Linked DNA regions of Cricetulus griseus. The protein of the gene in region 1 interacts with the protein of each later gene in a pairwise test. Links are inferred from orthologs where the notes say so. Each region holds a gene or a part of one and is shown in the gene's direction. Other genes may lie near its edges. The genes, in order: Epn2 and Wbp2.

Region 1 (3,813 bases):
CATGTGGTGCTGGGAATTGAACTTGGGACCTCTGGAAGAGCAGCTAGTGCTCTTAACTGCTGAACCATCTCTCCAGCTATTTACTGTTTTTGAGATAGGGGCTCACTATGTAGTTTTGGCTGACCTAGAACTCACTCTGTAGACCAGTCTGGCCTGTATCAGAAATCTGCCTGCCTTTGCATCCCAAGTGTTGGGATTAAAGGTATATGCCAATATTGCCTCTGTTTTGCCTACATTTGTACACACACACACACACACACACACACACACACACACACACACACTCTCTCTCTCTCTCTCTCTCTCTCTCTCTCTCTCTCTCTCTCTCTCTCTCTCTCTCTCTCTCTCTCTCTCTCAGGCACACACCTGAAGAGACTAGAAGAGACCTTTAGGTTTCCTGGGTTGTCATATGGGTCCTGGGAATTAAACCTGGGTCCTTTAAGTGAAGGCCAGGCATATTTGCCCAGTCCCAAATCAAGTGACATATCCCAGAGCCCTGGGCATTTGGTGGATCTGAACAGGATTACTGACTTTGACACATCTGGTTAAGCTGGGAAATAAATGCCCACTGAAAATCAAAGGTCTCTTTTTTTCATTTTGTGTGAGGCCTATCCCCTCTCCTGCAATGAATATCACATTGTGAATGAAAAACTTAATTAAATTAGATGTATAGTCACTCTGATCTTATAGTCACAGAGATTTTATCTCTGTCTTCTGACAGGTTTGGGGGATTCAGGAAAGCTGACCAGATGGGTAGAGATGTAGAACATGCCACCCGTTAGAAAGAGCACATGCAGACTCCTCAGCATATATGAGTGAGCAGAGAAGGCACCTGAAGCTTAATGTCCCGTCTCCTCCTTGCCCCGTGTGGGTGCATATGATGATTGACCATTGTATGTTTCCGTTTTGTTTGCTTATTTTTGATGCACCCATTGCCTGTTTGAATTTCTTGGAGAAGGAAGGTAGGGCTGTCTGGTGCTTCTCTGACAGAAACCTCAGCAATCCAGGGAGAGGAAGGTCCACTGCAGATGCCAGGTTCTGGGCTGCATGAGGATATATAGGGAGGTGGGTCTCAGACTGTTAACAGTAGCCAGCCAACTATAAGACTCCATAGCTCATGTTTTACATCTGTAATGGAAGAACCATTTGTACTGTCACAGGATAGACAAAGGCCACAGGGACTGAGTGAGTATAGCAGGGCTTGCTAGAGACCTAGCTTTCTCTTCAGTTTTCAGTTGTCCTGAGAATCTTCTGGGTTTCCGTTTCTTTATTTCACAAATGGAGAAATTATCTCCTGCTGAATTGTGGCTTTGAGGATGGGAATACTGTTTCTAAGTGTAGTATCATTCATTCATTCAGGTGTTTATTCCATGTTGGGTACAGTGCTAGTTGCTGGGTATTCACTGTGGATGGGATAGATGTTGGTTACCATACTGTAGGACCAGAGCCCCATGTTGGAGATGTGGATCTTGCTCCAGCTCTTTCTCACCTGGAGGAAGGAGATGGGTGCACTTGGAGCCTGTGACTATAGCTCTGGGTCTCTCTCTGCTTCTCTGTGAGAGAAAGAGGGGTTAGGCTTTAATCCTAGTCACATGAAAGCTGGGGTAGGTAGAACAATGGGAAGTGGAGGTGGTGGTATAGGTTGTTAGCCTTGCTCTAGAGGAGCAGTCAGGACTTCACTGATCCACATTCAGGGAGGGTCACAGAGAAATGGCCCTTAAGGAGAATTTTTCAGGCAGTTAGGGTCTTGTGAGCCAAAACCCAATTTTAAAGGCATGGACAGGCACTTTAATGTTCATTTAATTCCTGAAATGAAACTTTCTTGCCCCCCACATGTAAAACTCTCAGGACTGGACAGGAATACATCTCAGTGGTGAGGTTTATGTGGCCCAGAGTTCAGTACCCAGCACCAAAGGTTAAAATACATTTATCAGGATGTCTCCTTCAGCCCTGCTCTTCCTACATTTGGCTTTTGGTTTTAGTGACCATGTAGTCTGCAAGCTACCCACCCCTGGGAAAGCCTTAGGAGATGAAACATTGGTCATGATGTTTGCTTAAGGTTTAAACTTGTTTTATGGTTTATTCTTCAGCAAGTGACATTTGCGATCTGACCTTAGTTTTAAATGCAGGATGGCTGTATTGCATCCATGGAACTGGGGTGTGTTCTCTCACACAGCTTATATTGGGCTTTCCCTCCTCACCAGTGCTCTTACCAAAGCAACACGTCTTCTTTTTCTTTCCAGGACATGGCTTCCAGCTTCTGGGACTTGAGGCTTTGCAGGAGGAAATGACTGTTGAGCATCTTTTTGTCCCATCTGCATTACCTGCACTGAAACTTTCTAGAGTGCAGGCTTAGGGGACAGGAAAGTTTCTCTTGAAGGGCTTTACATGTCTAACAAACAATAAAAATGACGACTTCATCTATCAGACGGCAGATGAAAAACATTGTGAACAATTACTCAGAGGCCGAAATCAAAGTTCGGGAAGCCACCTCCAATGACCCGTGGGGCCCGTCCAGTTCTCTGATGACCGAGATTGCTGACCTGACCTACAATGTAGTGGCCTTCTCAGAGATCATGAGCATGGTTTGGAAGCGGCTTAATGACCATGGCAAGAACTGGCGGCACGTGTACAAGGCATTGACACTGCTGGACTACCTTATCAAAACGGGTTCTGAGCGTGTGGCCCAGCAGTGCCGTGAGAACATCTTTGCCATTCAGACTCTGAAGGACTTCCAGTACATTGACCGCGATGGCAAAGACCAGGGTATCAATGTTCGAGAGAAATCAAAGCAGCTAGTTGCCCTTCTCAAGGATGATGAGCGGCTGAAGGCTGAGAGGGTCCAGGCTCTCAAAACCAAAGAGCGCATGGCTCAGGTGGCTACTGGCGTGGGCAGCAACCAGATCACCTTTGGCCGTGGCTCCAGCCAGCCCAACCTTTCTACCAGCTACTCGGAGCAGGAGTATGGCAAGGCCGGGGGCTCACCGGCCTCCTACCATGGCTGTGAGTAATCAAAGTACCCCACCTTTTCTCAAGCACTAAGTGGCAAGTGCTGGGGCTGAGAAAATAGTTGCTGTCACAAGGTTCCATTCTGTCCTCAGATCTCAGCTTCTGATAATCCACGTGATAGCTTTGATCTGAATTGAGTAAGTCACAGGGGGGCTTTTGGTACTCAGGCTGCTCTGTGGGTCTAGGCAAGGTTGTGCCCATGCTTCTTAGGTTCTTGGGAGAAAGTGGACTCTAAGGCCAGTCTCACCAGATTTTTTTTTCTCTTTGAAGAATGTCTGTCAGCAAAGCAATTGTCCTGGTGCTCAAACCTGCAGGGAGCCAAATACCTGGTAGCTAGGAACAGGCTTAGGCTTGATCATCTGCTTCAGAATCTTACACTAAGTGTCTTTCTGCTGACTGAGTTGCAGGTCTCTGGAATGGTTCAGTGCTTACCATTATTGTTCATTATTCAGAGTTGGATGTTTCTGTTTTACACTCCATAGGTTAGCATCAGCAAGACCTCCTCACATATGGAAAAAGTCTTCGGGATTTGCATGGCTGAGTCTGCACTACACAGGGCTGATCTATGTTCTGATTGTATGTGATGGATCACGTTGGGTCTTTGTTCTGTATTCTGAAGAGGTTTCAGAGAGAGGAAGTGATGTTGGGGCCTTGTAGAAGCTGGTTTCTGATCCAGCTGGCCTCCTGGCCTCTGCCAGGAAGTGATCCAAGGCACAGTATTAATTCTCTGTTCTTGGGGTGGGTAGCCCTGAGGACCCTGAACTCAAGAGAGAAAGGTGGCTCTGGTAGCCCTTGGGTGCATAA
Region 2 (4,393 bases), about 53 Mb from region 1:
ATTCCTGCCTGAAGACTATCAGTATCTTATTTTTATGCAAATAAAAGTGTATTTCTTCAACATTCTGTATATTACCGTATAGAGTTGGATTTTACTTTTTTTAAAAGAAGACTTACTTTATGGGACCAGAAAGGTGGCTCAGCAGCCAAGATAACTTGTCCTTGCAAAAGACACGAATTTGGTTGCCAGCACCCATACAAACAGTTTATAACCATCTGGATCTGCAGCTCCAAGAGATGTGACACCCTCCTGTGTCCTCCTGCGGCTCCTGTACACACTGTAGTACACATGCATGCATGCAGACAACCCGTTACATACATAAAGTGGAAATAAACATTTTTAAAATGTGTTTTCATTAGTTTTTAATGATGTGTATGTGTGCACATCTATGATATATATATATATATGATGCATGAGAAGGCCAGAGACGTCAGCGCCTGACCTCAGTGCTGGAAAGCAATCTCGGGACCCCTCCTTCTCAGCTGCTGAGCCATCTATTCACACACACGCACACGCACACACACGCACACGCACACACGCTACACCACCACCACTTTTTTTTTTTAAAGACAGCGTCTTACAATAGCTGAGGCTGGACTGGAAATCCTTATGCAACCCAAGCTGACCTCCAATTTGCCGCAGCTTCCTGCCTCAGCCTCCCAAATGCTGGGATGTGAACCGCTATGCTGTCTGCTTGGGACCAAACCCTGATCCCCCAGATCTAGGGATAGTGAGGACGTCCCGCAGTCCTTCCCGGCCCGCGAAAGAGCCACCTCAGATGGAGTTCAGATTCTCTGCAACGTAGTGGACAGACACCCACGCCTGGGTCTTCAAAGTCCTGCTGTTTAGACTAGCGAGCTAGACTGAGAGGGCGCAGCGCCATCGTGAGGCCAGAGGGTGCAGGGGGCGGCGCAGGGAGCCGCGCAGGGGGCGGTGCAGGGGGGCGGTTCAGGGGACCGGTGCAGGGGTGGCCGGTGCAGGGGGCGGGGAGGACGGTGGGGAGGACGGTGGGGAGCCGATCACTCTCCCCAGAAGTTCACACTGTCCGACTCGCGGGGTCACGGTTGGAGGTGATTAAAGCGTATTTTGCTGGGACTGTTCCAGTCCACCTTAGACAGGGCTACGTCTCGCACAGCCAAGAGTATGGGCGAGGACGAAGGCGGCTCATTAAGTGGTTTAAAGGTGGCACACACCAAGTCACCACGTTTAAGTTACATCTCTCCAATTGAGTTTGCTTAACACGAGGAGGCCGGTTTGGGAGACGCGTACAGATGTTTAAGACTTTGTAAATAACCTAGCAAGCCTGTCCTAGAGTTAAAAAAAAGACTACAAGTCCCAGAATTCAACCACCACTCAACGCAAGGAGAGGTCGCGGTTGAGGGAACCATCGCCTGCTGGGAATTGTAGTCCGCGGCTTGTTTGTGATGCAGGTGCGACTTGGGGGAGGGGGAGCGGGAGTAAACTCTCGCCACGTGACATCGGAGGTCAGGTGGTTGGTCAGCCTGCGCGCAGGAGCGATGATTGGCTGGCTGTAATACGAACGACGCCACTGGAGGCGGGCCGAAGACCGGCGCAGGCGCAGAGCGCTGCGAGTCTCGGGACCCCAGTGGGAGGAGAGACTATGGCGCTCAACAAGAATCACTCGGAGGGTGGCGGAGTGATCGTCAACAACACTGAGAGGTGAGGACGCGGCGGAAGGATCCTGGAGGCTGGGGGCGGAGGCGGGCGCCGTGTGGTGGGCGGTGGGGTGCGGTGAGGAGGGGCGGTGGTGGAGCGCTGGGGGAGGGGGCGGTAACGGCCGGGGGCGGGGCTGGAGGGCGTGGGTGGGGCGTGGGTGAGGGGGGGGAGCCGGGGGAGCCGGGGGAGCCGGGGGAGCCGGGGAGCCGGGGAGCCGGGGGGAGCCGGGGGGGGGGGGGAGCCGGGGCGGCGGGGACGTGGGTCCTGAGTGAGGCCAGCGAGCCCCCTCCCAAATGGAGTCCGAGAATAATTGCTCTGTGTTGGGCGTTTACTACGTGGTTGCTACGCGGCAGGAGGCGCGGCGTGGGTCGGTTCTGCCTCAGATAACAGCTAATCTTGTGCGGCAGAAACTATCCCACACGGTTTACCGGTAGGGCAAGCGAGGCTCACACAGGGCGAATAACCTGGCTTAGGGCTGTGAGTGACCGATGGGACCTGAGGCAAGAGTCTTGACCGCAAAGCCAACAGTTGCTTAACCACTCCTGTCCAGTCTCCTCGTATATTCCAGAACTTCTCAGGTTCCAAGAGAAAGGCTGAGGCCCTAGAGGTGGAACTGAGGGGCTGTCATCTGCTCACCCAGTGCCTGGCGCCCGCGGGCCTTGTAAAGGCGTCTCCCTTGTGTCGCTCGCTCGCTCGCTCGCTCGCTCGCTCCCCTGGTTCTCTTGGATTCCTGAGGGCTTAAGTCGCTCGCCAGAGTAGAAGTCTCTCAACTGCAAGATTCTTTTTTCTCTACCCCTCACTGCACCATCCACTCTTCCTCTCCAACTTTTGGGCCCTCTCTGTCGCTTCTCTTTTCCTTTCTTGCTCGGACATTGGAAATCAGACTCTCTTGACCTGAGCTATGCAAGCTTGAATGTCTTCTTGAAGGCCAAGGGAGGCGTGGTCGAAGTCAAAGCCATCTTGGGACCTGTCACTTGAGAATGTTTGATGAGTCAGAAGAGAAGGTGTGGGGTGACACAGACTGGAAATGCTGATTTTGTCTCCATAGTTCTTGGCAGGTTCTGGCCAGCCCAGCAAGTTTTTTTTTTTTTTTTTTTTTTTTTTTTTTTGGTTTTTCGAGACAGGGTTTCTCTGTGGCTTTGGAGCCTGTCCTGAAACTAGCTCTTGTAGAACCAGGCTGGTCTCGAACTCACAGAGATCCGCCTGCCTCTGCCTCCCCAGTGCTGGGATTAAAGGTGTGCGCCACCAACGCCCAGCTGATCACTTCTTTATTATTATTATTTTTTAATTCTTAGTTTTTCGAGACAGTTTCTCTGTGTAGCTTTGGAGCCTGTCCTGGAACTCACTTTGTAGACCAGGCTGGTCTGGAACTCACATAGTTCCTCCTGCCTGCCTCTGCCTCCCCAGTGCTGGGATTAAAGGCGTGCACCACCACCGTCCAGCTGGTGATCACTTCTTTAACCTGAGCTGGCCTCTTTTATTGTGTTCTAAGTCCTCTATTACCTTTGCACCAAGAAAGGGTATTTGGGATGAGGAGGAGACATAAGAATTTGGACCCTTATGTCATGTAATCTGAGAAACCTTATTCTCTGGTGTACTTAGTCCAGTACCTTGGCTGGTCAAGTACTTTGATGCCATTCAGTGGTGTCCCCACCACTACCCCTCTCTCTGGTTTTCAGTCTATGGTTTCCATCCAGATTGGCCTTGAACCTGAGGCAATCCGACCTCTGGCTTTTGAGAGCAGGGAAATCAGAGATGTACCACCACAACCAGAGCTGTTTAGCTTCATCGTTTGAGAGTGGTTTTCCTTCACTTACTCTGGCTTTTATGTAGAAGATTTCTGCCCTCCTGGGCTCAGCACCTGGCTCATTGCTACCAAATAGGGTCCTGGGAAGAACTTCAGCCTCACTTCTGAAACATGTGTCAGTAATAATTGAAATGTAAGTGCAGTGCTCAAACTTATGATATTTAAACTAGTGAACAAGCTGGGCATTGGTGACCACACCTTTAATCCCAGCACTCAGGAGGCAGAGGCAGGCGGATCTCTGTGAGTTTGAGGCCAGCCTGGTCTCCAGAGCGAGTGCCAGGATAGGCTCCAAAGCTACACAGAGAAACCCTGTCTCGAAAAACCAAAAAAAAAAAAAAAAAAACAAAAACAACCCCCCCCAAAACTAGTGAACATTAACCTTTAATTCACAAACCACTGTTAGAGATAAAGGCTGTGAACTCTTCCCAGAAAACCGAGCACACAAGTACACACACACACACACACACACACACACACGCACGCACGCACGCACGCACACATACAGACACACACATGCATATACACACATCTCAAGGGCTTTATCCACAGACATTTTCTACAGCTCCAGCTAAAGAAGCTTGGATTAAAAAAAAAAAAACACACACACATAGAAACAACAACAACAACAACAAAAATATGATCTCCCAGAGGGCCCATTTAGTTCCCCGTATCAATGTCAGGCGGCTCACAACCACCTGTGTCTCCAGCTTCAGAGGATCCAATGAAACTATAGAATCATGTCTTTGACTCTATACTTTTATTATTTACTTATTTATTAGCTGTGTGTGTGTTGCTGGGGAAGAACTCAGAACTGTGACCATGCTAGGCAAATACTACTGTGCTGCATCCCCAAGTCCCATTAGACTCATGTTTATATATTAGGGTTTTGTTTGTTTTTGTTGTTTGTTT

The links.
Region 2: the proteins of Epn2 (region 1) and Wbp2 interact in binary tests that used the Homo sapiens proteins (3 or more experiments, as listed by UniProt). The link is inferred for Cricetulus griseus from reciprocal best matches to the Homo sapiens genes EPN2 and WBP2.

What each region holds. Positions count from the first base shown.
Region 1 is NC_048600.1:75,553,836-75,557,648, reverse strand, and holds part of Epn2 (epsin-2), read left to right. Parts: intron 1-2,243; 5' UTR 2,244-2,408; coding exon 2,409-3,003; intron 3,004-3,813. UniProt on the Homo sapiens protein: Plays a role in the formation of clathrin-coated invaginations and endocytosis.
Region 2 is NC_048600.1:128,670,201-128,674,593, reverse strand, and holds the start of Wbp2 (WW domain-binding protein 2), read left to right. Parts: upstream 1-1,522; 5' UTR 1,523-1,621; coding exon 1,622-1,680; intron 1,681-4,393. UniProt on the Homo sapiens protein: Acts as a transcriptional coactivator of estrogen and progesterone receptors (ESR1 and PGR) upon hormone activation. In presence of estrogen, binds to ESR1-responsive promoters. Synergizes with YAP1 to enhance PGR activity.